Elephas maximus indicus: one gene and its partners. The protein of the gene in region 3 purifies or fractionates together with the protein of the main gene of each other region. This does not show direct contact. Links are inferred from orthologs where the notes say so. Each region holds a gene or a part of one and is shown on either strand. Other genes may lie near its edges.

Region 1 (7,826 bases), on a different chromosome or scaffold from region 3:
TCTCAGGAATCTTACAAAGTCTCATAAAAAGACCGACAGGCATGTAATTATAATGTGATAATTGTGCCCAAGGAAGCAGAGCGAACAAATGAAAATGTCTGGTGGGAAAGGCTAAGTAGTAGGTAACTTCAGAATTGAGAATGTGAGTAAAATGTCTGTTTACCAGGAGGCCAGCCAAGCGCCCAGGTAAGAGCCATGAAGTGTTCAGGGCATGGCAAGTACAGTGGGATCAGAGGGTACGCTGAGAGAACGGGGAGAGGCTAGATGACAGGGAGGACCAGGTCATGATGACAGATTGCACTCAGATTTTTATCCTATTGGCTACTGGATTTCAGTGGAATTTTAAAAAACTCTCAGTGTATAGAAAGCAGCTGACACTGAGCTTCTCTGGTTACAGAGGCTGTGATGGTGGTGACGTCCACCTGTGTAGGCTCCTGCTGCCATCTCCCGTAGGCCACCCGTCCATACTGCCCAAGGCCCACGAAAAGAACCCGCGGGAAAACCACGAGGGACACAACCTTTACCTGGGCTTTAATTTTTTCTAATTTTTTGTATCTGTTAGCCCATGACACATAAAAAAATCACTCTCTCATTAATTTTACCTCTGGATCTCCTTCAGACTCTCTTCCCATTGTGCATACTTTATCCAGTTACTAATCACGGTTCTGTTTTTCCTTATGTTATCTTCAAAAGTCTGGAGAAATGCAAAAAGCGTCAAGCTAGAGGGAAGACAGCTAAAAATGATATAATCCTTTGTTTATTAATCCTTGTATTAAAAAAGCCATTCATTCTACTCTTATTTAAGAGAAATGACATCCAGGAATCCTTGAAGAATAAAAAGCCCACTAAAGAAGATAAGAATCACAGGTGTTTCTTTGAAGTCTTATATGCAAAGAAAGTGAAATCTTAGATATAAAGATTAGTGTAATTATTGATATTTTCTCCTGTTGCCTATGACAACTAACTGATACTTCAGCCTATACGTATTCCTAATAAGAAAATGTTTTTGACTATTACCTTTAAGTCTTCTTGGTAACGTCTAAGAACTTCATGTATAACTCATTGAAAATATCTAATAAGCACACATGACAGGCTTAGTGGTTTAAAACAATCCCACATTTTAGGGTGGGAAAGTCAGATCATATCCCAAAGCGTCTTCCTAGCCCTTTCCCAGGTCTTAACTATTAACACAGAAGGTGGCACAGACAGAAGACCAGGATGCAGCCTTACTAGTATGCCCTTCTTGCTAGTACTCCCTTTTACGGCTGCCAGTTGTTTCCATCAGTTAAAATTCCACCTATCTTCAATGTTGTTGTTGTTAGGTGCCGTCAATTTGGTTCCGATTCATAGCGACCCTACAGGTAGAGGAGAACTGCCCCATTTTCCAAGCGGTGACTGGTGGATTTGGAGCGTTGACCTTTTGCTCAGCAGCTGAGCTCTTAACCACTATGCCACCAGGGCTCCATCTTCAATGTAGCACCAAAAATTATCTTTCTGGTGGATTTAATTCCTTTATGCTTTAAAACAGACAACTCATGGCATATTTAGATAGTTTAGCAAAATGCAATTATCTGGTAACCAGAAGTTATATTATTCATATGGCTAGAAACACTAACTTCTTATCTTACAGACTCTCTAATCAATGAGGAGCTTTTAAAATTCTGATCTATAAATTCCTAACAATATTAATAGGCTCTCTGAAATGTAACACATTGACTGACCTTCCTTTTCCTTAGTTTGTAATCGTTTAACTCTTCTTCATCTGTGATCTTCTGTTGAGGTGGAGGTGGAAGAAGCTCAAGTTCTCTTTCTTTAGCTTCTCTTAGGAGCTGCTCAGCAGTTATCTGTACCTCAGCCGGGGCTTTGTTTTTCACCTTTTAAGACAAATGACATTTCTATATAGGTGCTCAAGGTTTACAAAACAAATGAACACTTTTTAGCTTATGATCTTCATAAGCATTATTACAAGACAGCCTGATTATGACATGTTCCCGTTTCTCTATGAGCCTGAAGAGAAAAAAAACCTGTTTTTCTCTTACATTCTGATTCATAGTGACCCTATAGGACAGAATAGAACTCCCCCATAGGGTTTCCAAGACTGTAATCTTTACAGAAATAGACTGCCACATCTTTCTCCTATGGAGTGGTTGGTAGCCTTGAACTGTGACTTTCTGGTTAGCAGCCAAGTGCTTAACCACTGTGCCACCAGGGCTCCTTATTATAACCTCCACTTATGGGATTCTTCAACTTATCTCAATGCCCTTGGTAAAGAACAGTTTGATTTTTAATATTATTTCAAGTCAAAGACAATATTCAGTAAGTTCCCGTCATTAGACTGTGAACTTTGTGAGGTCTTAGAGCTCTGCTGTCCAACATGCTAGTCACAAGCCACCTGTGGGGAGTCCAGATTGAGACTGGAAATTTCGAAGACTTAGTATGAAGGAAAAAAAAAAAAAGTAAACTACCCCACCAAAAATTTTTAATATTACGTGTCGAAATGACAATATTTCGGTACACTGGATTAAACAATTAACATTAATTTCATTTTTGATGTTTTAACGTGGGTACAAGAGTATTGAAAATTATGTAAGTGGCTCGCATTATACTTCCATTGGACGGTGCTCTCTTATACCGACTCTGCTCATTACTGTTTTCTTCGCAGCTCTTTTTACATAAGAGGTGCCCGACAAAAATTTAGGGAATTGAGGCACAAAAAGTATTGAATGCCACATGGGCCTAACCCAGGACAACACTCCCTCGCCCAGGGCAGCGCGGAGGCTGGGCCGGGGGGAATCCCCTTTCCTAGCCCCCCTCCCGCCCGCCCCCCAAAGGCCTCTGGGTAGCAGCGGCTCACCTTAGCCACTTTGGGGATCCGCTGCTTTCCGGCCGCGGTGGAGGCCGCCATGTCTGCAGCCGCGGGCCTCCGGAGACCCCTGAATCCCCGAAGTTGCCTGGAGGGCTGGCCGACACCACCAAAGATTTTTGACAACAAGCAGAACCCCGGAACCGGAAGCGGAACTACCTTGGCTGACCTTTGACTTCTCGCACGCGCCGTGACGCAGGAAGCGCCGTTTCTGTGGTAACGGGATGCGCGTCCGTCCCGGAGCTGGCGGAGGAGCGCGCGCCCTGGGGCTGCTGATGAGGTGGGTAGCGCCGTCCTGACAGGAAGGGACGCGGAGACTGGGCCTAGGGCGTCCGAGGCGCATCCCCATGTCGGACTTCGGGACTGAGATGACAGTGGCAGCGCCGGTGGATTTTGCCAGGCGCCATCGGCTAGCTCCGATTTGGAAGGTCTCAAGGACGGGGAAGAGAGGCCGGCTGAAAACTACCACTCCCAGCATGCCAAGTGGCGACGTGCCGCGTTCCTGGGCGGCCCAGCGCCGCTTTACATTCTGGGTGTTGTAGTCCCTGAGGTTCATTCCCTGTTCGTTTCTGGACAGTTGTGCCCAAGATGAGAGCCTTGGTGGCACAGTGGTTAGGAGCTTGGCAGCTGATCAAACGGTCACCAGTTTGAATCCAGCAGCCGCTCCTGGGAAACCCTATGGGGCAGTTCTACTCTGTCCTGTAGGGTCGCTGTGGGTTGGAATCGACTCGACGGCAACTGTTTGGTTTTGATTTGGAACCCAAATAATTAACTCTAATGCTTAGAAGTTAAAATAATGGAAGACATTTTAAAGCCAGATATTAAAAAAAAAAAAAAAAAGGAATGAAAATCAATTAGCAAAGTGACTAGCAAACCATCCAGCCTCGTGGTCATATAAACCAATGTTTAAATTCTCTGCGAGTGTGCCTCTTAAATCATTTTAGCCTCAAGGTCTTCGACTGTAAAACAAGTATAACAATACCTATTTCACAGGATTAAAAAGAAAACCTGTGTAAAGTGCTTAATAATGCTATCTGGTATAATTATTGACCTGCCTTCAACAACAGAAAAATTAATTCTGTGCAAGCCAAACGGTTAAGAGAATTTTGACAGTTGCAAGTTTCTTTCGGTGTTTTCCAAAATATGTATTTATATATTTATGTAAGTAGTAATTTCAAGCATGTCCTACCTATGCAGATACTGCTTTCAAAAAATGTTTTATGCAGATTTCTTAAATTACAGTTATTATTAACTAACATCAAAATATTTGCCACAGCTTTGTACCACTTACTTATATTACTTAAACATTTTTAAGTTAAAAAACATCAAAATATTTGCCACAGCTTTGTACCACTTACTTATATTACTTAAATATTTTTAAGTTATCTCACATTAAAAAGTTAGAGATTTTATGTCACTATCATAATTTTTTTTATCATAATTTTTTTTATCATAAAAGAAGTCACCTAACAAAATAAAGAAATAGCTATTAAAATAAAAACATGTTTAATGACTTCCCTTCAATTTGTAACTATGCATAGTTGATCTAACAAAGTTAATCACCCCTAATGGCACTGGCACAGTGGTTTAGAGCTGAGCTGCTAACCAAAAGGCTGGCAGTTGGAATCCACCAGCCCCTTCTTAGAAACCCTATGGGGCAGTTCTGCTATGTACTATAGGGTGGCTATGAGTTGGAATCTACTCAATAGCAATGGGTTTGTTTTTTTGGTTTTAGCCTCCTCTCAGAGATACAAACACCTTAAAATGCTTTACTTCCTAATCACCATTCTTTCCTCTCACATGTTTTTTTTGTCTGCTTGTTTAGTACAACCTGGTTTTTAAGCAAAATTATCATTATTATTACTTTTCTTTTTGCCATCAGTGCTTATTTAGCTATACCTGCATGTTACCTTTTTTCTCTCAGCAGTGCATCTTGTATTCCACTCGTTTCTGATTTTAATTTTATTCGTTCTGGAATACATCTTTTACTAGTTCTCTTAACTGGGTTCTTTGAATGGTAACCTCTCTCAAGGTTTTTTTGTATGAAAGTGTCTTTATATCACCTTCATTTTTTAAAACAAGAGTATTTTTTTAAGCAGTTAATCATTAATTGGGCAAAACATAATGAAACTATTTCTCTTGTGGTGCCTGTTTAACTTCTAACATTTTCGTAGGTCGTCAATATTTTCACAGGTGTCTTATTTCTTCCTCATTTTTTTAAAATAATATTTTATTGCGTTTTCAGTGGGAGTTTACATAGCAAATTAGGTTCTCATTTAACGGTTTCTATATTAGTTACATTAGTTCATTAGTTATATTTTTCACAATGTGTCAACATTCTTATTAATTTCGTTTCCAGTAATCTGGTTTCCCTGCCCCCTAACCTCTTCATCTTTGTTTAGAGTGATTGTTGACCATTTGGTCTCATAGATGACTTTTTAAAGGCACCACTATGCCACCAGGGTTTCCTTTTATTTTATGAGCCACTCTGTTTTCCCTCAGGGGATGGTTTCATTTCAAGGCTTAAAGAGTTTCTTAGGGTGCCAGTCTTGGGAATCCTCTAGTCTCAACCAGTCCAGTAAGTTGGGACTTTTTAAAAATTTGGTCTCTGTTCCACATTTTTCTCCTGTTCTCTAAGAATCCATCCATTTGGGCCCTGATAAGAATGACTGGTAGTGGTAACTGGGCACCATGTATTTCTTCTGGTCTCAGGGTAGATGAGACCATGGTTCATGTAGATTGTTAGTCCTGTAGATTAATTTCTTCTTTGAGTCTTTGGTTTCCTTCTTTCTCTTTTGCTCTGGATGAGTAGAGACCAATAGTTGTATCTTACATGGCCACTCACAAGCTTTTTTTTTTAATTTTATTTTGCTTTAAGTGAAAGTTTACAAGTCAAGTCAGCCTCTTATACAAAATTTTATATACACCTTGCTATATACTCCTAGTTGCTCTCCCACTAATGAGACGGCACACTCCTTCCCTCCACTCTCTATTTTTGTGTCCATTTGGTCAGCTTCTGACCCCCTCTGTCCTCCCATCTCCCCTCCAGATGGGAGCTGCCCTCATAGTCTCATGTGTCTACTTGATCCAAGAAGCTCGCTCTTCACCAGTATCATTTTCTATCCCATAGTCCAGTCCAATCCCTGTCTGAAGAGTTGGCTTTGGCAATGGTTCCTGTCTTAGGCTAGAGAAAGCCTGGGGACCATGACCTCCGGAGTCCTTCTAGTCTCAGTCAAACCATTAAGTCTGGTCTTTTTACGAGAATTTGAAGTCTGCATCCCACTGCTCTCCTGCTTCCTCAGGGGTTTTCTGTTGTGTTCCTTGCCAGGGCAGTCATCGATTGTACCCAGGCACCATCTGGTTCTGGTCTCAGGCTGATGTAGTCTCTGGTTTATGTGGCCCTTTCTGTCTCTTGGGCTGGTAATTACCTTGTGTCCGTGGTGTTCTTCATTCTCCTTTGCTCCAGGTGGGTTGAGACCAATTGATGCATGTTAGATGGCTGGTTGCTAGCATTTAAGACCCCAGGTGCCACTCTCCAAAGTGGAATGCAGTATGTTTTCTTAATAGATTTTATTGTGCCAATTGACTTAGATGTCCCCTGGAGCCATGGTCCCCAAACCCCCACCCTATGCTGGACTTCGAAGCGTTCAATTTATTCAGGAAATTTCTTTGCTTTTAGTTTAGTCCAGTTGTGCTGATCTCACCTGTATTGTGTGTTGTCTTTCCCTTCACCTAAAGTAGTTCTTATCTACTATCTAATTAATGAATACCCCTCTCCTACCCTCCCTCCTCTTGTAACCATCAACCAATATTTTCATCTATGCTTAAACTATTTTTTGAGTTCTTGTAATGGTGGTCTTATCCGATATTTGTCCTTTTGGAATTGACTAATATCCCTCAGCATAATGCCTTCCAAATTCCTCCATGTTATGAAATGTTTCACAGATTCATTGTTGTTCTTTATCGATGCATAGTATTCCATTGTGTGAATATACCATAATTTATCTATCCATTGATGGACACCTTGGCTGCATCCATCTTTTTGCTATTGTAAACAGTGCAGCAGTGAACATGAGTGTGCATTTATCTGTTTGTGTGATGGCTACCTGAATGTCTTCTTTAGTGAAGTGCCTGTTCATATCCTTTGCACATTTTTTCATTGAGTTATTTGTCTTTTTGCAGTTGAGTTTTTGTAGTAACATGTAGATTTTAGAGATCAGCTGCTGATCAGAAATGTTATAGCTAAAAACTTTTTCCCAATCTGTGGGTAATATTTTTACTCTTTTGGTAAAGTCTTTGGATGAGCATAAATGTTTGACTCTTAGGAGCTTCCAGTTATCTAATTTCTCTTCTAGTTTTCATACAGTTCTGGTAATGTTTTGTATACTGTTTGTGCCATGTGTTAGGGCTCCTGGCATTGTCTCTGTTTTTTCTTCCATGATCTTTATCATTTTAGATTTCATATTTAGGTCCTTGATCCATTTTGAGTTGGTTTTTGTGCGTGGTGTGATACATGGGTCTTGTTTAATTTTTTTCCAGCTGGATATCCAGTTATGCCAGCACCATTTGTTAAACAGACTGTCTTTTCCCCATTTAACTGACTTTGGGCCTTTGTCAAATATCAGCTGCTCATATGTGGACAGATTTACGTCTCTTTTGCTTTCTTGCAGTTGTGTCTTATAGTTTTCTTTGTACAGGTCTTTTACATCCTTGGTTAGATTTATTCCTGAGTATTTTATCTTCTTAGGGGCCGTTGCTAATGGTATTGATTTGGTGATTTCCTCTTAGTTGCTCTCTTTTTTGGTATAGAGGAATCCAACTGATTCATGTATGTTTATCTTGTATCCTGATACTCTGACAAACTCTTCTATTAGTTTCAGTAGTTTTCTTGTGTAGATTCTTTAGGTTTTTCTGTGTATAAGATCATGTCATCTGCAAACAGAGATACTTTTACTTCTTTTTT
Region 2 (7,549 bases), on a different chromosome or scaffold from region 3:
TGTGAGTAAACATGCAGAGATCAAAAATGTTCCTCAAAGAATTAAAGCTGGGGATATTTTCAGGAATTTTTTGCTGTTTTCTTTATACCTCTGTATATGGACTTCTTACATTCCCTAGGGCAAGTTACTTCACCTACACCGTAAGTCTGTAGTGAAAATGTTTATACATATAGCACCTAGAACAATGCCGGGTGCACAATATGTACTCTCTATATATATTAGTGCGTTTCACTTTTACACAATGAACAGGAAAAGCTTTTACCAGGAAGTAACTAAAATTAAAGAGAAAAATACCCCTACTTTCAAAGAGTTTTTCCACTCCAACAATAGTTTTTGGGGGGATAAATTTTAGAAGATTTTGTGGGATGAGGGAAAAAGGAATAAGGCTAGGGTATATAACATAAACCTCCAACTTCTCTATCTGGCCCTGAAGTTAAAACACGCCAGAAGAAAACAAAGTCACAAATAGTTTGGGAGCATGAATGAGTGAAATCTCCCACTGAATCACTCTCCATTTGCAGCACTGCAAGAATGGGAAAATGGGACAGTTATATGCAGTGCCACTCACAGACTGACAAGCCTATGTTCTGATAAAACCCATCCCGGTTTTTTTTTAAATCTGCAGGATTGCATTTGAAAAGGCAGTCACCAAAAGTGACTTCAGTTGCCAAGTATGAAACACACTCCAGCACTGATGAACGCTGTAAGCTCATTGCTAAAGAATACTAGTTCTATGAAAAATGAATTATTCAAGATATGAACGTATAAAAACAGCCCTCCAGAATTTCAGGACTTGGGCATTATTCCAAATATGAACTCTTTTTCACCTACAGACAGAAGTCAAGCACTATTGAAGGGAATCATAAGGGCACCACCTAGAAACAAAAAGGGACAGACATTCATTTTGCAGGGGAAAGGGAGCAACCACATATACAGATGAGACCTCTAGCCCCAAAGAAAGCATTTTTAGTGGTGTACATACACAGGGATATAAATATTTTGTGCCAAACTAAAGTCTTGTGAAACATGTTTGTTCCATCTCAGCCAGATAACAAGCAATTTATTTTTGCTTCACAGGCATCAAGAACCAAGTGTTCCCAACTTTACAAGTCATTAAAATCGGCTGCAGTGACTTTAAACTACAGCCATAGGCTGTATGTTGTAACGGAAAAAGCTCAGAGTGAAAAATCAGAAGCTCAGGGTTCTACATCCGGCATTCAACTGCGTAAACCTGCAGAAACCACCTTAACAACTCTGGGTCTCCTTTTCCCACTCCTTGAGTGAGGCTCTGAAGTCACTTCAGCTCTGAGGGTCTGTGACATGTTGCTTCAACGCCATCAAGTTTTGCTGGGTGTTTTTTTTTTTTTTGGAGGGGGAGGGGCAGCCTAGGGAGAAAACTGTCTAATACTGTAAACTAAATACTTTTCAACATTAAAATGTGACATACTTCTGCTTTATATATTCAATATACGGAACTGCATTAAAAAGTACACCCTATCCTGGCATTTACTGGACACAGCAGAGACCTACAAATCAATCCAGATCATGGGCTTCTGGTCAACAATTCCCCAAAGCTACACAGATGGTTTAACACAGTTATTCTGTACACACACACATACACACACGATAAGATAAAATCATCCAAGGAATGTGAACATTCAGGACATTGTGTTTTTGCCTGAATTATCCAAAGAGATCTCTGTACTTTCGGGATAAAAAAAAAAATTGAACAAGAAATGACTTTAATGCAATTACTAATGCACCTTTAAAAAAGGACTAAGGGAAAGGAAAGTTATCTGAAACAGTAAGTCTGTATTTCAAGTCCCAAACAACCTCCCCACGGGGCAATATTTTGCCGTAATTAAAACCATTTTTTGAAAAGCGTTTTTTCAAAAGCTACTTATAAAGAACAGCAGAAAAAACAATAGAAAATAACTTATGGGGGGGGGGAAAGAACGCCTTCTATCCCTACCCCACTGATTTCCGATGCCAATGCTTTAACTAAAGCAGGAAATAAAGGAGATGGCGGGAGCGTAGGCAGAGAGCGGAAGTTTGTCTAGTGTCTTTGAAGTGTTTGAATGGACCGAGGCACGCTCCCTCCCGCCAAACTATAAACGTAGCCTTCTCCATCCCACCAGCCTTCCAGCCCGCCAGGTGTACTCCACGTTCCCCTTTCGACAGGCCCTCTACTCTCCCTTCCCCCGAGAACTCCTCGTTTGCACGTCTCACACTCAACTCCCGCCACCCCCATCCCAGCCTACACAAGAACCCAGGCGCTTCTTTACACTCTCTGACTCTCCCTTCCTGAGATCCAGCCACTCCCCAAGGTCCACTCCCCGGTCCCTCGGCCTGAGAAGTGCCTGGTGCCCTTGGAAGCGAATACTCTCGCCGCGCCCTCCCCCCTTACCCCCCCGCCCCGGCTCCAGGCCTTACTCGGGAACCCGAACCACGAGGTCCGCGGGTCCCTCCCGCCAGCCCCCCTCGAGTCGAGCTCTAATCGGCCCGTCAGATACGTCCTCGTGGCCACAACAGGCCCCTCCACCTACCCGACGGTGGCGGGCGGCGGCCCAGCCACACACACACATTCCCCGCGTCCTTGCTGGGCCGACCGCGGAGAGTGGCGCCGCTTTCCTCCGCCCAGAGGGAAACAAAGACTCGAGCTCCGGAGCCCTCTCGGTCAGGCCGGCCCTGGCCTGCTCCCCGCCGGCCCGCCGCGGCTCCAACAAAGCCCGAGCCGCTGCCTCGCGCCCCCGGCCTGGCTTACCCATCGGTCCCCGCACGCTTCTTGCCGGAGGGGTAATCCTCCCCCAGGTCCAACCGGTGCCGCTTGGACATCTTCGTACTCTTCGAGCGGGTGGTTACCAAGAAGGAGAAAAAAGAGAAGCCAGTGGCTGTAGCGCCGCAGTCGAGGGCAGCTACTTTGGAGAACCCCCACCCCTCCCGCTACAACAGCCTACACCGTGCGGCCGGAACCAGGAGCTAAAATGGCGGCGGCGACGAGGGCTGGGCCTGCGCGCGCGCTTCCGCAGCGTACGTACTGTGCGTCCTTGCGTGCGTAGTGCACGCGCACGACTCTCGGAGGCGGCAACTCTGGCCCCGCCCACCAACGCTCTGGCCCGCCCACCCCGCGCCCCGCCTGACGCCTCCCTATTCCCGGCGCTTTCCGAGTCTGAGAGGGTGTAAAGAGCCGTGAGACGGAGGCGCTTGAGGCTCCGCTTCTGTCTCACCGTCCCGCTCTGATTTAGGAAATTGAAAGGGAGGAAGTCTAGTCCTAGTTAGGAAATCCTACCTATCTGTATTGTCTTGGCTTTAGGGCAATCTGAGACCAGCCAAGCCAGGACTGGAACCTGATCTAAAACTCCAAATCTAGAACTTGTAGCTACTGTGCTAAACACTCAATTGCAGAGAGAAAACTGAGATGAGAAGATGTCATGACTTGCCATGATCCATTTTGCGCTTTCTCTACCCAACACGGACAACATGCATTTGGGCTATAAAAGTTTTGTTGGAGTAGAGAAAATTGGCAGTAAGGGGATAATTAGCTTTTTTTTTTTTTTTTTAATGCCTGTTTTGCACTTGTGACAGCGTTAATCCTACCTCTTTACCTCACTCTTACGGTAACCCTGCACGGTAGATGTTATTTTATAGGCGTGGAAGCTAAAGCTGAGAGCGGTTATGAAATGTGCCCCAAATCGCAGAGTCAATAGTGCTGTACCCAAAGCAACAGCAAACTAGTGGAGCAAGATGCCTCTGGTGCCTTTTGTGGACCTCTCCCCTTCTTCCTGGGTTGTGTCCATTCAAGAAAGAAATGCACAAGAAAAAGAGCCATGGACCAAACCCAGCTGGGTGACTCCTGTAGTTCATGCAATTGACTCTAGCTGTCTTGGAAGGCCAAGCTCTGGTTCTATCAAATCCTTAGCACTGCAAGTGAGAAGATTAAATACAACTTAAATATTGAACACTGAAAAATAGGGTTTTTATTTTTTTCTACCAAACACACATTCCAAAGTCAGCACCAAGAGAACTGGATATCTTCTTTTCACTTATAAAATACTCAGTGCAAGTTTCTACCCTAAATGTACATTAACAGTGGATTGGCTTTTGTCAGAGATCACAATGTATGATCACTGAATTGTAAACCTGGGAAAGAATTTCCAGCTGATTTTCTCTTTCCACTTAATTTTAAAACCCCATTGCCGTCGGGTTGATTCCCATAGGGTTCCCAAGGAGCGGCTGGTGAATTTGGAACATTGACCTTATCGGTTCACAGCCAATATCTTAACCACCTGAGCCACTAGGTCATGACCAAATTCACACAGCCAGTTAGTATCAAAGACAGAATTAAAATTCAGAGTTCACTTTAACTATTTCATCCTCAGGTCTCCAAGTTCCCAGTTGGAGAGCTACAATAACATGCTCTAAAAAAAAAACGGAAAAGGTTGGAATTCTGCCTTCAGAAGTGCTCCGGCCTAAGAGGAGTCAGCCACTCAGAAGTGTGCAAAGAGCCTTCGTAAATGAAGAACTGAAACCAAGGTGATGAGACCTTTTTCCTTGGGCCTAGGATGTATCTAAAGAAACCTGTAACCTAATCAATTGTGTTGTAACATGAATTACTGAAGAAAGGTCATATTTACCAAAGATAGTGGCCTTTCTGGAACCCGGAATAAAGACAACTAAGGGCCAGAATCTGCCAGGATGTTTGTACTTTCTGGGAAGAGGAGCAGAGCTCTGAGTCTAGATGCTCTACCCTAGATTTTCAGACAAAACTGACTCTAGAGTAAAGAAGGGCCACCCACCAGGACCCACAGCTTGTTGCCAGAGAATATTTATTACCTTTACTCTTACTCTTTGTCTACTAGACAACCCTCTGATCTAGTATCTGACCTATGGCATGGATTTACTCACCTGGAGGGAATGTTTTATGCAGCTATCCAGCTCCAGATTGCAAGCCAGGGTTATCTCCCAACCTAAAGTAATGAATGGTAATGATAATAGTTAATGTGTATAAAGCATTTAGGAGTCCCTGGATGGCAAAAATGGTTAAATACTTGACTACTAGCCTAAAGGTTTGCAGTTCAAACCCACCCGGAGGTGCCTCGAAAGACAGGCCTAGCAAAAAGTCACAGCCTTAAAAACCCTGTGGAGCGGTTCTATGCTGCACACACAAGGTTGCCATGCATGAGAATCAACTTGACAGCAACTAACAATAACGACAACATTGTCATGGATTGAATTGTGTCCCCTGAAAATGAGTGTCAGCTTGGCTAGGCCGTGATTCCCAGTATTGTGTGGTTGTCCTCCATTTTAGGATCTGATGCAATTTTCCTATGTGTTGTAGATCCTACTCTCTGCCGGTGGTTAATGAGGCAAGATTAGGTTATGTTAAAGAGGATTAGGGTGGGATGTAACACCCACACTCAGGTCACAGCCCTGATCCAATGTAAGGGGAATTTCCCTGGGATGTGGCTTGCGTCAGTTTTTATATTGCAAGAGATAAAACGGGAGAGAAGTGAACAGAGAGATGAGGACCTCATGCCACCAAGAAAGAAGCTCTGGGAGTGGAGTGCATGCTTTGGACCCAGGTTCCTGTGCTAAGAAGCTCCTAGGCCAGGTGAAGATTGATGACAATTACTTTCCCCCAAAACAGACAGAGAAAGACTTGCCCTGGAGCTGGCACCCTGAATTCAGACTTCTAGACTGTGAGTTAATAAATTTCTCTTTGTTAAAGGCATCCTCTTGTGGTATTTCTGTTATAGCAGCACTCGATGATAACTACGAATGTGGTAACAGAAAACTGGGATACTGCTCTAACAGATACCTAAAATGTGGAAGCGGTTTTGAACTGAGTAATGGGTAGATGCTGGAAGAGTTTTAAAGTGTCTAGTAGTAAATGCCTAGATTGCCTTGAAGAGACTTTTCGTGGAATTATGGACATCAAAGGCAATTCTGGCGAGGATTCAGAAGGATATGAGGAGAGTTGTCTCAAAGGGTGGAGCCATAACCTTCAGGGTTTCAAATGATAGGGCCATAGCCTCCTAGGTTTCAAAAAATCAGATCTTCATCAACTTGATTCCGGAGTGTTGGGCTGCCTCTCACGAGCGCCAGTGGGATGGGGCCAGATCCACTGTCCAAAGCTGAGGGGGCAGGGCTGCCATGCCTGAGGTTCAGAGGGACAGGGTCTGCTGGGGCAGAGTAGGTAGGGTCGCCGCTCAGTTGGGCTAGAAAAACAAGGCTGCCCAAATGCAATGGCGCAGGACCAGACAGTTTTGTGCTGCTGTACATAGGGTCGCTATGAGTTGGAGCTGACTCGACGGCACTTAACAACAGCAGCAACAACAAATGCAAGGGGGCATAGTTGCTGTTCCAGTGGGCCTGGAAGACTGAGCTGAAGCCCAGGGCCGAGGGGCCTCCGCTCAGAATCCGGAGAGTGTGGCCAACACTCAGAGTCTGGAGGGCAGGGCCATTGCCTAGATGGTCTCAGAGAAAAGAGAATTATTTTCAAGCCTTGAGAGCTAGTGTAAATTGTTCTGCTGGATTTTTGACTTGCTAGGTTTTGTTATCCCTTCTTTCCCTTCAGTTTTGTATCCCCCCCAAAATATGTGTCAACTTGGTTAGGCCATGATTCCCAGTATTGTGTATTGTGTGGTTGTCCTCCATTTTGTGATTGTAATTTTATGTTGAGAGAATTAGAGTGGGATTGTAACACCACCCTTAACTCGGGTTACCTCCCTGATCCAAGGTAAAGGAAGTTTCCCTGGGATGTGACCTGTACCACCTTTTATCTCCCAAGAGATCAAAGGAAACGGAAGCAAGCAGAGAGTTGAGGACCTCATACCACCAAGAAAGCAGCACCAGGAGCAGAGTGCATCCTTTGGGCCAGGGGTCCGTGCGCCTGAGAAGCTCCTTGACTATGGGAAGATTGAGGACAAGGACCTTCGTCCATAGCCAAAAGAGAGAGAAAGCCTTCCCCTGGAGCCAATACCCTGAATTTGGACTTGTAACCTACTAGACTATGAGAAAATAAATTTCTCTTTGTTAAAGCCATCCACTTGTGATATTTCCGTTATGGCAGCACTAGATGACTAAGACAAGTTTCTTCCATTTGTAATGGAAATGTCTAGCTTTTGGCTGTTCCACCGTAGTACTCTGGAAGCAGATACCTTGTATTCTAGGTTTCACAGATGAAGAGGAATTTTGTAGAAGATGAGATTTTGGATTTGGAGTTGATTTAAGACTTTTGCTATGATATGATGGGAGCTGAATGTATTTTACATGTGGCAAGGACATGAATTTTGGGGGCCAAAAAGTAAAATATCATGGATTGAATTGTGTCCCCCCAAAATATGTGTCAGCATGGCTAAGCCATGATTCCCAGTATTGTGTGGTTCTCCTCCGTTTTGTGATCTGATGTAATTTTCCTATGCATTGTAAATCCTAATCTCTGCCTGTGGTTAATTAGGCAAGATTAGGTTATGTTAAAGAGAATTAGGGTGGGATGCAACACCCTCACTCAGATCACAGCCCTGATCCAATGTAATGGGAGTTTTCC
Region 3 (7,480 bases):
GGCCTAAAGGGCTAAAATCCTCACTCTCTCCAACTTACTGCAGGTTGATGTCTCGAACAAGAGGTTCAAATTTGGGGCCTCCAGGAATGGCCATATTAAGTGCCTTGGAGGTAAAGAAGGCCTTTAGATCAAACAGATAGAAGTAGTTGTCATCTACCAAGTCTGTCAGGAGCTGATTGGCCAGGCGGTAGAGAGTGGACATCATGGGCAGTGTGAACTGCCAACGCTGGTAAGTGGAACCATTCACATACCTAGGGTTAAAAAAAGGGGACCAAGTCAGGTAAGTATACCAGCTAGCAGAGCCATACCACCTACTGCTCACCCGGGACTCCGAGGCTTCTAGAACTCTTATAGAGTAACTCCAACCATCACTCACTTCCTGCTATCCCTTAATGGCTGGTGGTCGTAGAACCAGTCCAACACAGGGGCATCCTCCTCTGGGTCCAGCTCTAGCTGAATGGCCTCAAGTGGCTCAACATCTAGAATATTGTCAGCATAGTCCAAGGGTGGCTCCTCATCATCAAAAGGGGGGAAACGCATCCTCTTAAAATGCCTCCTGTCTCTCTTTTCTCGACGCATCATAATCCACATCGACCTGGAAGTCAAGAACATTACACAACTTCTACTCACTGCCCCTTCAGCCAACACCACCACCACACACCATATTCCAGCCCTTCTCACCCCCACTGGGAGATGTAGACAGGCTCAATAACCCAGGGAATCTCATTGACGAAGGAAATAGCTCCAGTGATGTGGTACAGCACAGGCACATCCCGAATCTGCTCCCAAGGCATGGGCATGTTCTCCAGAAGCTTGAGGACTGCATGGGGCATGTACTTTAGGGCACTGTGGCATTAGGAAAAGAAAAATTAACAAGCATGACAAGGTGTTCCGCCACTCAGCAGAGAACCCACATGGTATCACAGTACCACATTCCACAGAAAACACTGCCTTACAGTCCAAACTCCCAAACTTAGCACACCTAAGCCCTCCAGGATCAGAAACATGTCTTACCCTCTCCAACCTCACATTACACCACCTTCCCCCTTAAACTTTACGGTCCTGCAATATTGGATAGTAGTCCCTTTAAAGCAACAAAACAACACCCTCTTTGTTGTCCAGCTTTTCACATTTTATTATTTCTGTACCTTCCCACAAGTAACAAAAATAAAATATTCATCATACTTCATTGTAACCATTTCACGTCTGTCATGCCACTAGACTGTTAGTTCTATGAAGGCAGAGATCGTTACTGCCTTCTTGACCGTTACATCCTTAGAATCTAGCATAATTTAAAATATATATATATTTTTGCCTCAGACCAGTTCATTAGCTGGCTAACATTTTTATGTCCAAATGGGACAGGAATTTGCTAAGGCATTTGTACCTGAGAATATACAGACCTCAAACCAAAAAAACCAAACCCACTGCCGTCGGGTCAATCCCAACTCATAGTGACCCTATAGGACAGACTAGAACTGCCCTGTAGGGTTTCCAAGGAGCAGCTGGTGGATTCAAACTGCCCACCTTTTGGTTAGCAGCCCAGTTCTTAATCATTGTGCCACTAAGTATCTCAAACCTCAGAATTTTGGTCATTGAGGTTTTAAGACAGCTAAAAGTACAAAGTGTCCCACTCTGGACTTCAATCCATTCAATGACAGGAACATATGAAGAAAAGCCAAAGCACCAAAAAGACAAATTAAAGCCCCAGCCCCAGATAAAGAAGAAAAATCAGAGCAATAAAGAGCATAACTGGAAAACCTGCAAATTGTCACAGAATCCTAGTGGTTTCCTTCTTTCTCTACAAACGCCAAGATGGCTGTCATTGTAGAGTCCTGTCCCCAAATGATAGAGCAGCTATCTAGCACTGCAACCTATAGGGCGGCGAGAAAGTAAAGGAGCTAAACTCCAAATGAAATAATTCCAGATGTTCCTTACCCCAAGTAGACCCTTTTGTCATGGCGAAACTTCCTGTTGGTCATGTCTCCATGGTCTCGAATAATCTTTCTAACATGTTCTGGAGGCATGTCTTCCTTCTGAGCATCCACAAACCCAAATTTCCGCTTTTCTGCGTAGCGCTTGGCCTGCAATTGCTGCCATTTTCGGGCTACAAAGGCATCTCAGTTTGAAAAACTGCACTCCCTTAGCCTAATGATCCCCATCTCCTGCCCTAGGGTAAGCACCTGTCCGGGCCTGTGAGGGGGGCGGGGCACCCAGATGTGGAGAAGGTGACTTCCCCATCTAGAAAGAACAATCTCCACCAATTCTTTTGTCAACTCATTGTGCTTTATCTTTTGTTTTTTCGTCTTTCGACTTATGTTTTACAGACTTTTAAGTTTTTTATTGTCTATCTCCCTCACTGCAATTTAATCCGTAGAGGCAACAGCTTTGTCCTCATCGCTATTATATTCCCCATTACTTAGATCAGCTCCTACAAATAACAAACGCTTAAAAATACTTCACTAGTTGAAAAATAAATAGGGCTAAAAAGGGAGTCCACATCTACCGGTAATGACCTGACAAGCGGTGGGGGGGAAACTTTCTAGGTTGCCCCAGGAAAGGCTTTCCAAACCCCCCGCGCGCACGCGCGCACACCGGCCCCTAAGTCTCGGGGCCCGCGCGCGTCATCCCGGCACACTTTCCTCACCTTTCTCCTGCAGCTTCTCCTCCGACATGTAGTCCGGCAGCGGGGCTAAAGGGCCGGGCACCGGGTTACCCGGCCCCCGGTAAGGAAATACTCCAGCCATGCCTGGAGAATCTGGGGGACGGAGGGGGTGAACAATCAACGAGCAATAGGGCCTGGGCCCAGAAGAGGCGCAACATGAACGCGTCCCGGAGACTGCTCCCCAGCCCCTGCAGCCCCGCCTTGTGCAGAGTGCACCCAACCCGGCCCAACACCTCCCGCCGCTCAGTCCGGCCCTTAAAGCCTACCACGCACCCCCACAGCCCCCTCGCTCAGACGGCCGCTCTTCCCGCAGCGCAATGGCGGCAAAGCTACGTCCGCTCTGCGTTCCCAACGCCGGAAGATGCGCAAGCGGGTTTAGCAGTTAACCCAATAGGCGACCAGATTCTCAGATGGATTAGAGAACTCACCAATTAGAACTGCGCGCCGGGTTAAGGGGGCGGGTGCATATGCGGAAAGGACTTGAACTCAAGGGGTTGTGGAGGGGTAGGCACAAGCCCCGCCTCCCGTATTTTCAGAGGTTGATTTTGGGGCCTGTGGTAGACTTCGTCTAGTTGGCGCTTCGCGTTCTAGTGTGAGGAAGGAGAGACTAGAGCTTCAGAGTTTCAATTTGTCAAAATTGCACATTGTTCTGAGTCTGTTTTTCATAAATGTAGATTTGAGATGCAGGACTAGTTCCGGGTCCATCAGTCCTTTGTTCGTTCATTGGACCATCTATAGAGTCCCCACAAAGTACCAGGCATTGGGGATATACCAGGGGAAGAGCGAACCGCAAGCTCTCACAGAGCTCACAGGTTAGCGGGGAAGTCAGACTAGAACGCAGGCTGTTAACAAATGCTGTGTGATGAGAGTCCCGGAGTAGGGCTTTTCACCCTGACTGCAGAAGATACCGTGGGGAACTCCATTGTTGGGTGTCTTTACCCCCTCCCTCTCTATTCCTCTTTTCTCTCTCTGGCAATGATTTTCATTACACTATGGAGTGTAATGGGCACCCCATGGAGTACAGTGGACACCCTATAAATGCTTCTTGACTTGCCCAGATTCTGTCTTGCTGCCTGAATTGCTCTCCATCTCCTGCCATCCTCGTTTCACATTCCGTCCCTCTTGCTCCGCCCTTTGCAGCTCTGTTTCTGTAAAAACTTTGAATCTGACTCAGTCAATAGACAAGTTTGTTGGAATTCCCACCGAGCTTATTGTGGGGGATTTGAAGGTAGTGTAGCCTACACACCCTCTCGGTCTAATGGAAACTTAGAACTCAAATGTGAAATAATTAGAGAAAAATGCAAGCTAGAGAACAGGCAAGTGCTGGTCGGTATGGGTGTTCATACATTCCGAGAAGGGAGGAGAATTATTAAAGAAGTTTTTACAGAGATCATGGATGTGAATCCAGCAGGTCACTAGGGTCAGTGTCACCCAATGCAGTAACTCACAGTGTCACCCCTGCCATGGACCTCCCCCCATACCAGACCACAAGGAATCCTTAGGAATGTTTTTTGTACTAGAGATACTTGTAAATCATCATTCCCATATATCACTCCCTCTTTTCCCTTTATTACTACTTTGTTCTCAAAAAAGCTATTTGTATAGGTTCACAAATACTAATTACCACAATATTGTAGCTAAAACACCAGAAAATTTGACAAAACCAGGAACTATAAAAACACCAGCAACAAAAAACAGCAGTTCTTGTAGCATGTGCAGTCCACGTGATTCGAATCATCATTGTGATTGGGTAATAATGACAGCGCTGACCAAGGGCATGAACCCCCAGTGCTACCGAGGGCATTAAAAAAGTAAATTAGCATAGAATTTTAGCCTTGTAGGTATATTGATACATGTAAGCTGGACTTATGAAAAATGTTATTGTTATAACTAACTACAGAGATATTTTTATAAAAAATCATAAATTTTTGCTGAAACCCTGCACAAAAATTTTATAGACAGTCATTTTGGTGTCACCCCCTTTGACAGTGTCACCAGGTGCGGTCAGCACCCACCCCACCCCCCTAGGAGATGCCACTGTGTGAATGATTTGATGGGGGAAATAAAGGGGAAGGAAAAGGGAGTCTCAGGTGATTTGTACCCTTACCAGTAGACTAAGCACTTAGAAACAGGAACTAAGGTGGCATGCTCTGAGAACAGCGAGCAGACCAACCTGGCTGTGATTGGTCCAGCATCGTTATGATTTTCATCATGATCATTGCAGTGACGTCCTTCACACCCGTACAAGGTTCACTATGTGCCAGGCATTGTTCTAAGCAGGGGTGAAATCTAATATGGTTTGTAATTTCACCAGTAGTATTGTACCAATATCAATTTCCTGTAGTTGCTCTTTTCTTGTTTTGATTGTCCCTGCTATGGTTATGTAAGAAGTTATCAAGCTGGGTGAAGCGTATGCAGGAATTCTCTCTATTATTTTTTAACAAAATTATTGGGATGCGGTTTACATACCATAAAGCTCACCCAATTTAAGTGTACAATTCAATGATTTTTAGTATATTTACACTTATGCAATTACCGCCACTAATTCCAGAACATTCTCATCATCCCTAGAAGAACCTTTGTTCCCATTAGCACTGACTTCCATTTCCTTTCCCCTCATACCCTTCAGCCCTAGGCAACCACTAATCTACTTTCTATTTCTATAGATTTGCCTATTCATGACATTTCGTATAAATGACTGGCTTCTTTCACTTAGCATAATGCTTTTGAGGTTCATTCCATATTGTAGCCTATCAGTAGGTCATTCATTTGTATTACCAAATAATATTACATTGTATAGATATAGCACATTTATCCAGTCAGTTAATGAGGATTTAGGTTGTTTCCACTTTCTGCCCACTGTGAATAATGTTGCTGTGAATATTTATACAAGTTTTTGCTTAGACATATGTTTTCATTTCTCTTGCATATGTATCCAGGAGTGGAATTGCTGGGTCATGTGGTAACTCTATGTTTAACCTTTTGAGAAGCTGCCAGACTGTTTTTCAAAGCTGTTGCACCATTTTACATACCCACCAGCAGTTCATGAGGGTTGTGATTTCTCTGTAACCTCATCAACAATTGTTATTATCTGTGTTTATATTGTAGCCATTCTGGTTTACATGCAGTTGTATCGTATTGTGGTTTTGATTTGCATTTCCCTAATTTCTACGATGTTGAGCATCTTCTTCTGTGTTTTATTGGCCGTTTGTATATCTTCTTCCAGGAAACGTCCATTCAGATCCTTTGCCCATTTTATAATTTGGTTGTCTTTTTATTATTGAGTTCTAGGACTTATTTATATATTCTAGATACACATTTTGAAAATTTTTTTCTCCCATTCTGTGAATTGTCTTTTCACTTTCTTTTTTTGCAGCCAAGACATGGCGTGATTTGACCTCTTGGCTTCTCTATCCTTGCCTCGTGCTGACCTGTCCAACAGCAGCTTTTTAGATCCCCAGACACTCCAAAACATGAACTTTGGTCTGTTCATAAACCTTATGGCCACCCCACTCCCCTCTCCCTCTTCCAGTGTAGTAGGCAGCCTTGGAGATGGCTCTCAGTGATTCCTACCTCGTGGTTTTATCCCCTTGTATTCCCTGCCCCTTAGTATTTACTTCCCTTGGAAGTAGCTGGACTTACCGACTCAATTCTAACAGGACAATATGGCAAAAGTGGTGGGATGGCACTTCTGAGATTTGGTTATTAAATGTCTTTTCACTTTCTCGATGGTACCCTTTGAAGCACAGAAGTTTCTAGTTTGAATAAGGCCCAGCTTGTCAATCTTCTGTTTTATCACTTGTGGTTTTGGCCTCATATCTTAGAAATAATTGTGTTACACAAATCAGGAACATATGCTCATGTTGTCTTCTAAGAGTTTTACAGTTTTAGTTCTTAAATATAGTTCTATAATTCACTTCAAGTTAATTGTTGTATATAGTGTGAGGTAGTGGTCCAAATTCATTCTTTTGCATGTGGATATTCAGTTGTCCTATTACTATTTGCTGAAAAGACTGTTCTTCCCCCCATTGAATTGCCTTGGCTCCTTTGTTGAAAATCAATTGACCTTTTGTTTCTGGACTATTCTATTAATCTTTCTGCCTATCTTTAGGCTCTCCATGCTATTTTTGCAACTTCTATGTGAGCTAAAATTATTTCAGAGTAAAAAGTTAATAAATAAATAAGCTTATTAAATCCTCAATCTTACATGGTAAGCACTATTACTATCCCTATTTTACTGATGAGAAACCCAAGCTCAAAAAGTGAATAACATGCCTAATTACATGAACTGTGTGCCAGGTTCTCTCTAACAACTTTACATGAATTAGTTCATTTTATGGTTACAATAATCCAATGAGATTGGTCTTACTATTACCTCATGCGGTGCAATGAATCGCTTTTATATGGTCTTCTGGCCATGGACTTGTAAATCCCATTAAAATGATTGGCTGGGACTATGCAAATAAGGTGTATGGAACCCTTGCGGATATTGGACAGCCTGCTAATGCAAATAAAGTGCATGGAAACCTTGAGGGAATTGGTCAGTTTTGTCATCCTAAAAACAAAAAGGCTTGAAAAGAGCCAATCCCAAAGGTTGAGGGGAGGCCTCACTACCATCAAGAAGAGCCAGGAGCAGAGTCCATCCTTTGTCCTAAGCATACCTGTGCTGAAAACCTCCTAGACCCAGGAGACAGAGCTGTAACACTGGAGATGGCAGTGGCATGAGATGGCAGTGGCATGAGATGGCAGCAGCACAGGACCGGCAGACTGCTGCAGTTGGCTGGCTGATGCATAGAGTGAGAGAGTTGAGCACCT
Region 4 (7,078 bases), on a different chromosome or scaffold from region 3:
CTTGTAGGACTAGCTTCTTCTTCAGTTACCAGAAACTACCCATGAGCTCTAATTCTTACCCTTCCATACTACCTCTGCCTCCCCACTGTAGTTTGTCATCCCTAACCCTACGATTCTCGATTCTCGCCCCTCTGCTCCCTCCCTTCAATCACAGCATGGGTGCTGAGGTTGGGGTGGGAAGGGCAATGCCAAAGCTGGTTTGACAAATGTGACTGTGCCTCCTACATTGAGCTGGGTTTTTCTACTCAGGTGGAGTCTATGAAGTGAGTCATTCAAGATCTTTATTTTCTCTTCACTCCTTCTATGTGCCCTCTCAATCCTACCTAACCCAAAATGTTTCTCCTCTGTGCCTCTCACTTCTCCTTGCCATGTTTCCTCTTCCCATTCTCTCCTGCCCTAGTTTCTTGGCCCCTTTTCTTTGCTCCTTCCCTCTCTTTATCACCCAGAGCTCGGTGATCGTGATCTCAATGGCCTCCTCTCTTCACTCGTCCAGCTGCTTTCAGCCCCCGAAGCCCGAACATTGCTTGGCTTTCAATCACTAGTACAACGAGAGTGGGTGGCAGCTGGACACCCCTTCCTGACCCGGCTTGGGGGAACTGGGGCCAGTGAGGAGGTGAGGATTTGGGAGTGTATTGGGGGGTATTACTAAAGAAGTAAGGGGATGAGAATAATACATAGTATAATCCATTGTAGGAGAATTCGGTCAGAGGATCCTAAGGTTAGGCTGAGATTAGACAGAGACCAAAATGAGAGAGGTCCCACAATCCCCTACTACCCTCAGTTCAGATTTCCATTCCCTGACCTCCTTAGTGCCCCGTTCCTGTGTCCCCCACCCCTCATCATTTTGTGATCTTCCCCCTTAAGTCTTCACCATCTCTTCTAATCTCTTAATTTCCCTCTTCTCAGGCTCCAGTGTTTCTCCTCTTCCTTGATTGTGTCTGGCAGCTCCTCCAGCAGTTTCCAGCTGAGTTTGAATTCTCTGAGTTTTTCCTTCTTGCTCTTCATGACAGTGTCAGAGTCCCTGACACCCTTACGTTCCTGAGAGATAATCCCTGGGAGCGTGGAAAGCAGAGTGGACAGGTCAGTGACTTCCATTTCTGACCTGTCTTTTTTTTTTCCCGTTGAGATGTACTATCTGAAGTTTAGCCTTGATTTGTTTTGAGTAAAGAAGTGTTGGGTGGGGATGAGGAGGTTGATGCTCATTCTCAAGACTGGACTTTTGCCTTATATTTGATTTTTGGAGTAAGAGGTGAGCGTTTCATGATGATTTCTCTTTAGATTTGGGAAAAGGACTGTATTTTTTGTTTGTTTAACCATCCCTTTTCTTGCTTCCTCTGTTCAGTTCAGCTCCTATACACAAGTGTACACCCCACGGAACTCCCAGCCCCTACCTGGGAACTCTGTTAACCAGCAGCTCTCTGTCTGGGACTGGGGTTTACGCTACAGCAATGAACAAATCCTACAATTCCATAATCCTGGCTATGACCCAGAGCACTGCCCAGATTCCTGGCTCCGTAGACGACAGGTGAGGTGTCAGTGATTTCTAAATTCCCCTGACTTTCCCACAGATTCATCCCACTAGACGGGGAAAAGTGGGAAGACAGTATCTTAGTTGCCCATGGGGAGCTATCCCACTCCTGTTATGCAGGTGTCACTTATGAGCCCTGACTGTCCCCAGAAAGACAGAAACCCTAGAATGGCATAGAAGGCATCCTTTCTGTCCTTCTCATCTCTGTTTATTATTCTTCCTGTCTCATGCATTCACTTTTACAGGTTTCCCTAAATCAACTTCAGTCAGTCCTGAGGCCTAGTTTGAACCCTAATAAGGAGAGTAGATAAACAGTTCTCAGGGAGAGGCTTGTAATTCCAATCACTAGTGCAGTGGCAGCTGATGCCTCTTCCTGGCCTAACTTGGGAAAACTGGGTAGTCTGGTTTCTAGGTTGCCAAATGATTTCTCTTTCCCCCCCAGTCACGCTTCATGGTTCCTGGACCCCCCAGTTCTGTGTGGCTCTTCTCTAGAGGGGCCCTGACACCCCTTAATCACCTCTGTCCTTGGCGGGACAGTCCCTCCCTACTGGCCGTCTCTTCTCGTTGGCTTCCTCGACTAGCCATCTCCACTGAAAGCCTGGCTGACCAGGAGTGGGGGCTCCCCTCACATTGGGGGGCTTGCCCTTTACCCCCAGGGCTACTGCTTCCTGGAAATCTGGGACCCCAGATCAGGCTCTGGAAACGCTGCTACCTGAGGGGAAGGCCTGAAGTCCAGGTGAGAAGGGAAGACAGAGGTTGGGAGTGGGAGAAAGGGCTTGACTGTTGAACCAGATGAGCCGGAGTTGGAATGGCAAGGGGCTAGGGGGAGGGGCTGGAAAGTGAGGTACCACTCCTGTTGGTATCAAACTGGGTAGTTTTGGGAGGGCGGGGGAAACTGCTTGTGGCTTAGATCAAGTGGAACCCCAGGCACAGTTGGAAGGAGAAGGAGAATTAAAGACACCGGACGTAGTGTATCTTAGGAGAGGGCTAGAACTGCAATAATATTCCTCTTACCCCTCTTTGCCCCATCCCCAGATGGGCCTGTCAGCTCCCACAATCTCTGGCCTCCAGGATGAGCTATCCCATCTTCAGGAGCTATTAAGGAAATGGACGCCAAGACCACCAAGACTATCTCCTGAAGATCACTCTAAGAAGAGAGACCCAAATACCATTCTCTCTCAACCCTGCTGAAACTGCTGGCATTGTCACAGACAGGGAAGAGGCCTGCCTGGGTTGAGGGAGGGTTCTGTCTAATCCTGATTTTTCTTATCTGGTTTTGCTGCCTCAGCTTCCACACTCCAGCCCTTAAACAAGCTTACTTAGCAGGCCTGAGTTTCCATTGCAGGGGGTGGCGCTAACCTTCTCCAACTCTTGTCCTGTGTGTTTTGATTCCTCGAGATTTTTTGTTTGCTTGTTTCTCGTGATTTGAAGAAATCAGTAAACAAAATCTATAATGTGATCTCCCATTTTTTTCAAGGCATTACCACCTCTTTTGGATATCAGCTGTTAAATTGTGAGATCAGAGATGCTGGTCATCATCCCAACAAGATGGCCTAGTGACCTCATTCTTACCCCTCTTGCTGCTTAATTCCAATTAATATTTCTTATAGTTCTCCATGAGAATGGGGTGGATATGGGAGACACCCTGCCTCCTCCAGCTGTGTATTTTTGCAGTGACATTTGTATTTAAAAGGTTGATTAAAGCACGGTATTTATACACGTTGCTGGCATTTATCTGAATAGATGATTCTAGGTAGCAAAGAGTGGTGGGTGGAAGGTGGGTGTGACCCAAGAGAGGAAGGCACCCACCATATTATTACGAGATAAGAGAATGGAGTCAGGTGAGGGTCTGCAGAATTCACATGTAATTTGGCAAAAGGGGTTCATTTCTCTGTGCCTCCCACTTTAGGGGTAGATGTGGCAAGAGCTGGGGAGCATATCAAGAGTTGTTGTTGGGCTAGTGTGTTCAGGCGGCTGAGACAAGGCTCTGGGCTTCAATCCCAGCCACCCCTTGGCTTTGGTGTCCCATCATCCCCCTGCAATAACGGCTAGCCGAGCTTCGACGTCACTCCCCGCTCAGACATTCCGCAATACCCGCCCGAGGGAAAACAAAATACCTCAAGCCCAGGCCGGAGCTGTGAAGCCGAATCTGGCGAGGGCTGCGAGCCAAGGTGGAAGGCAGCCGAGCCCTTGGGCGCGGGTTCCTCAACACTTTTCTGAAGGAAAAAAGATCACCTGGCTACAAGATACATGAAAAGCAGTTTTGTTTCTAGCTTTCAAATTTACATTTTCGGGAGCAGCTGCATGGTTTAACCTCTAGCACTGCTTTACGGGGTCTGAACGTTTCCGTTTCCCCTCCCAGCTCGGGCGCTCGCAGGCGCGGCCCGGAGCAAGACCAACACCCCACAGCAAGAGTATCCCAAGCCGCGCCCAATCTCGGCGCCTCCTAAGATGGCTCCGGCCGCTTCCGGCTCCTCTCCTGCCGCGGCCGCGCCCGCCACCCTACCACGGCCTCTGCCCCGGAAGTGGAAGACGCGACTGCGGTCAGGGGGCGGGGCTGCTGCTTGGAGACGGCGGGAGCTCGTTCGCCATGGCGGCCGGGCCGATCTCTGAGAGGAATCAGGGTAACTAGAGGGGACGAGCCCGGAATGGGCACAGGGGAGCTGGGAGGCTCCGACTAGAGCCAGCAGGGTCACTGCCGGGGCGAGTGACTGGATCGCCTCGTAGAGCGCGGGACCGGCAGCCATGCCTGCCGGGGGCGGGGTGGTCGGGTGCTTGCTGAGGCCTGTATGTGTGATGCCTTCTGTGCCCAATTTCCTCTTGCCTTCCCACTCAAAAAAATACAAAGTCCACGGAGAAAGGTAGAATTTTCAATAGAACACGGTGTTGGACTTCCGAAGATTCTCTAGGTCCTGGGAAGAAGGGGATTTAAGGGCTTGATCTAACATCTTTTTTTTTTTTTCTTTTTGCTCTTATCCCCTAAACCCACCCCCAGTTATCTTGCCTGAATTGCATTTTCATATTCTTGTCCCCTTCATTTCTTGTTATACTCTCACACCTACCTTAACCTTCACTTTTCCTTCAGATGCTACTGTGTACGTGGGGGGCCTGGATGAGAAGGTTAGCGAACCACTGTTATGGGAGCTGTTTCTCCAGGCAGGGCCTGTAGTCAACACCCACATGCCAAAGGATAGAGTCACTGGCCAGCACCAAGGTGAGTACCTAGCAAGACATGCATTTGTGTATTGAGGGGATGTAGTGGTCCTGGTGGGCTCTGTAGTAGTCACAGTGTTTGTAAGGAGTAGCGTTTAAAGAATCCTTTCTTTTGAACCTCAGTTCATAATTTGTTTCCAGAACCATTCTCATTGAAGTGAGGTTTTTTTTTTTTTCTTTCTTGTTTGTGCCTTGGTGGGGGATGAGTTTTACCCCCTTTCGAGTCTCTTCACTTCATTTGTTAACCTTCCCTTTTTTATACACAGGTTATGGCTTTGTGGAATTCTTAAGTGAGGAAGATGCTGACTATGCCATTAAGATCATGAACATGATCAAACTCTATGGGAAGCCAATACGGGTGAACAAAGCATCAGCTCACAACAAAAACCTGGATGTAGGGGCCAACATTTTCATTGGGAACCTGGACCCAGAGATTGACGAGAAGCTGCTTTATGATACATTCAGCGCCTTTGGGGTCATCTTACAAACCCCCAAGATTATGCGGGACCCTGACACAGGCAACTCCAAGGGTTATGCCTTTATTAATTTTGCTTCATTTGATGCTTCGGATGCAGCGATTGAGGCCATGAATGGGCAGTACCTATGTAACCGCCCTATCACTGTGTCTTATGCCTTTAAGAAGGACTCTAAGGGTGAGCGCCATGGCTCAGCAGCTGAACGACTTCTGGCAGCCCAAAACCCACTCTCCCAGGCTGACCGTCCTCACCAGCTGTTTGCAGATGCACCCCCTCCACCGTCTGCCCCCAATCCTGTGGTATCATCGTTGGGGTCTGGGCTTCCTCCGCCAGGTAAAGCTTTTGATTCAAAATGTGTTTGTCTTGGGGTTGAGGGGACAGAAGGGTGGAAAAGAACGGAAAAAAGGACAGCAAGTCAGTGGGTGATGAGGGCATTGGGGGGGGTGATGGTTGTGGTGTGGAAGAAAGTTGTTGGGTTTCTCCAGGAGAGTGAAGTTGTTTGAGTTGTCTAACACTGTTGCTGGCTTTAAGAGAGCTGGGAAGAGGGGAAAAGAGGTCATCCTTCTTGGAGAGGTCTGATTGGCACAAGCTCTCTAAAGATATCATCTTCTCAGTACTAGTAACTCTTCTTCCATTTCTTCTTTAGGTATGCCTCCTCCTGGCTCTTTCCCACCCCCAGTACCACCTCCTGGAGCCCTTCCACCCGGTATACCCCCAGCCATGCCGCCGCCACCTATGCCTCCTGGGGCTGGAGGACATGGCCCCCCATCAGCAGGAACCCCTGGGGCTGGACATCCTGCACATGGACATTCACATCCTCATCCATTCCCACCAGGTGGGATGCCCCATCCAGGTGAGTGTTCTTTGCTGGGAAAAGAAGGGATGAGCTTGGTAGAGGGGTTTTGTTATCACTCCTGCTGTTGCCTTTTGTCCCTCAACAAAAATAGGTAGTTCCAGAGCTCTCCTTTTTTTTATGTAAACAAAAACAAAATACTTTATATTGTTTACACTAACATGTGCTGCCACGGTTCCATTTCTTATTTAAGTTTTCCTGAAGAGTAACCTAAACTTGCAACTTTTTGTTTCCTTAACTTTTACTTGTATTCTTTCCTTTCATTTCCACCCCAAAAGTGACCTATTTCCAAACCTAGGGGACCCTTCTTTTTTGCTCTGACCTCTGCTGTACATGAAACTGGCCGTGTTCTTTTGTTTGAAATTCTTGTCTGGTTTGGCTTTTGTTTTTCTGGATTCTCCTCCACCTCTCTCTGACTTCTCAATCTCAGCCTCCTTCATAGGCTCCTTTTTCCCTGCCTGCACCTAGGATCTTGTGCTTGGTTCTCTTTTCCGCGTATTTTTATATTTTTCATTATTCATTGATACTTTCTAGGTCTGTTTCTTTAGTCCATGGTTATTAACATTCCAGACCCATAATTCTCCTGTTTAATGGACAGCTAGCTGTACTGTGCTACCCCTTTGGTACCTTAAACCAAACATGACTAAAAATGAAATTTTCTACTCCTTCCCTTCAGACCTACTTTTTCTGTCATATTCTTTGTTTTCAGATGCTTAATTCATAAATTTGGGAGCTGTATTAGACTATCCTCTATTACCCTGTTCTTAGAATCTCTGGCATCTACCCACATTGCCAGTGTCCTGGTTCAAGCCCTCATTCTTTTATTTCACACCTAAGTTATCATAGCAATCGTGTAACTGGTCACTTTCACTCCAGTTTTCTCTGCCTTTGATCTGTCTTTCATAGAATAATTTTTCTAAAACATGGGTGTTCACATACCCTTGGGTTAAAATTCTTCTGTTTTTCCCTTTTACCTGTAGAGTAAAATCCAAATTCATTACCAGGGCA

Evidence for each region.
Region 1: the proteins of PRPF8 (region 3) and CRNKL1 fractionate together in Homo sapiens (co-fractionation; 3 studies listed by BioGRID, with this or other methods). This does not show direct contact. The link is inferred for Elephas maximus indicus from reciprocal best matches to the Homo sapiens genes PRPF8 and CRNKL1.
Region 2: the proteins of PRPF8 (region 3) and DHX15 fractionate together in Homo sapiens (co-fractionation; 3 studies listed by BioGRID, with this or other methods). This does not show direct contact. The link is inferred for Elephas maximus indicus from reciprocal best matches to the Homo sapiens genes PRPF8 and DHX15.
Region 4: the proteins of PRPF8 (region 3) and SF3B4 purify together in Homo sapiens (affinity purification with mass spectrometry; 4 studies listed by BioGRID and IntAct, with this or other methods). This does not show direct contact. The link is inferred for Elephas maximus indicus from reciprocal best matches to the Homo sapiens genes PRPF8 and SF3B4.

Annotation. Positions count from the first base shown.
Region 1 is NC_064843.1:61,128,863-61,136,688, forward strand, and holds the start of CRNKL1 (crooked neck-like protein 1), read right to left. Parts: upstream 3,013-7,826; 5' UTR 2,906-3,012; coding exon 2,855-2,905; intron 1,875-2,854; coding exon 1,722-1,874; intron 695-1,721; coding exon 603-694; intron 1-602. UniProt on the Homo sapiens protein: Involved in pre-mRNA splicing process. As a component of the minor spliceosome, involved in the splicing of U12-type introns in pre-mRNAs.
Region 2 is NC_064823.1:138,877,532-138,885,080, reverse strand, and holds the start of DHX15 (ATP-dependent RNA helicase DHX15), read right to left. Parts: upstream 3,004-7,549; 5' UTR 2,836-3,003; coding exon 2,765-2,835; intron 1-2,764.
Region 3 is NC_064837.1:20,023,661-20,031,140, reverse strand, and holds the start of PRPF8 (pre-mRNA-processing-splicing factor 8), read right to left. Parts: upstream 3,012-7,480; 5' UTR 2,939-3,011; exon of another isoform or gene 2,932-2,938; intron 2,759-2,931; 5' UTR 2,748-2,758; coding exon 2,648-2,747; intron 2,108-2,647; coding exon 1,939-2,107; intron 847-1,938; coding exon 682-846; intron 596-681; coding exon 377-595; intron 252-376; coding exon 39-251; intron 1-38. UniProt on the Homo sapiens protein: Plays a role in pre-mRNA splicing as core component of precatalytic, catalytic and postcatalytic spliceosomal complexes, both of the predominant U2-type spliceosome and the minor U12-type spliceosome.
Region 4 is NC_064821.1:184,069,571-184,076,648, reverse strand, and holds the start of SF3B4 (splicing factor 3B subunit 4), read left to right. Parts: upstream 1-4,068; 5' UTR 4,069-4,118; coding exon 4,119-4,152; intron 4,153-4,613; coding exon 4,614-4,742; intron 4,743-5,007; coding exon 5,008-5,550; intron 5,551-5,863; coding exon 5,864-6,070; intron 6,071-7,078. UniProt on the Homo sapiens protein: Component of the 17S U2 SnRNP complex of the spliceosome, a large ribonucleoprotein complex that removes introns from transcribed pre-mRNAs.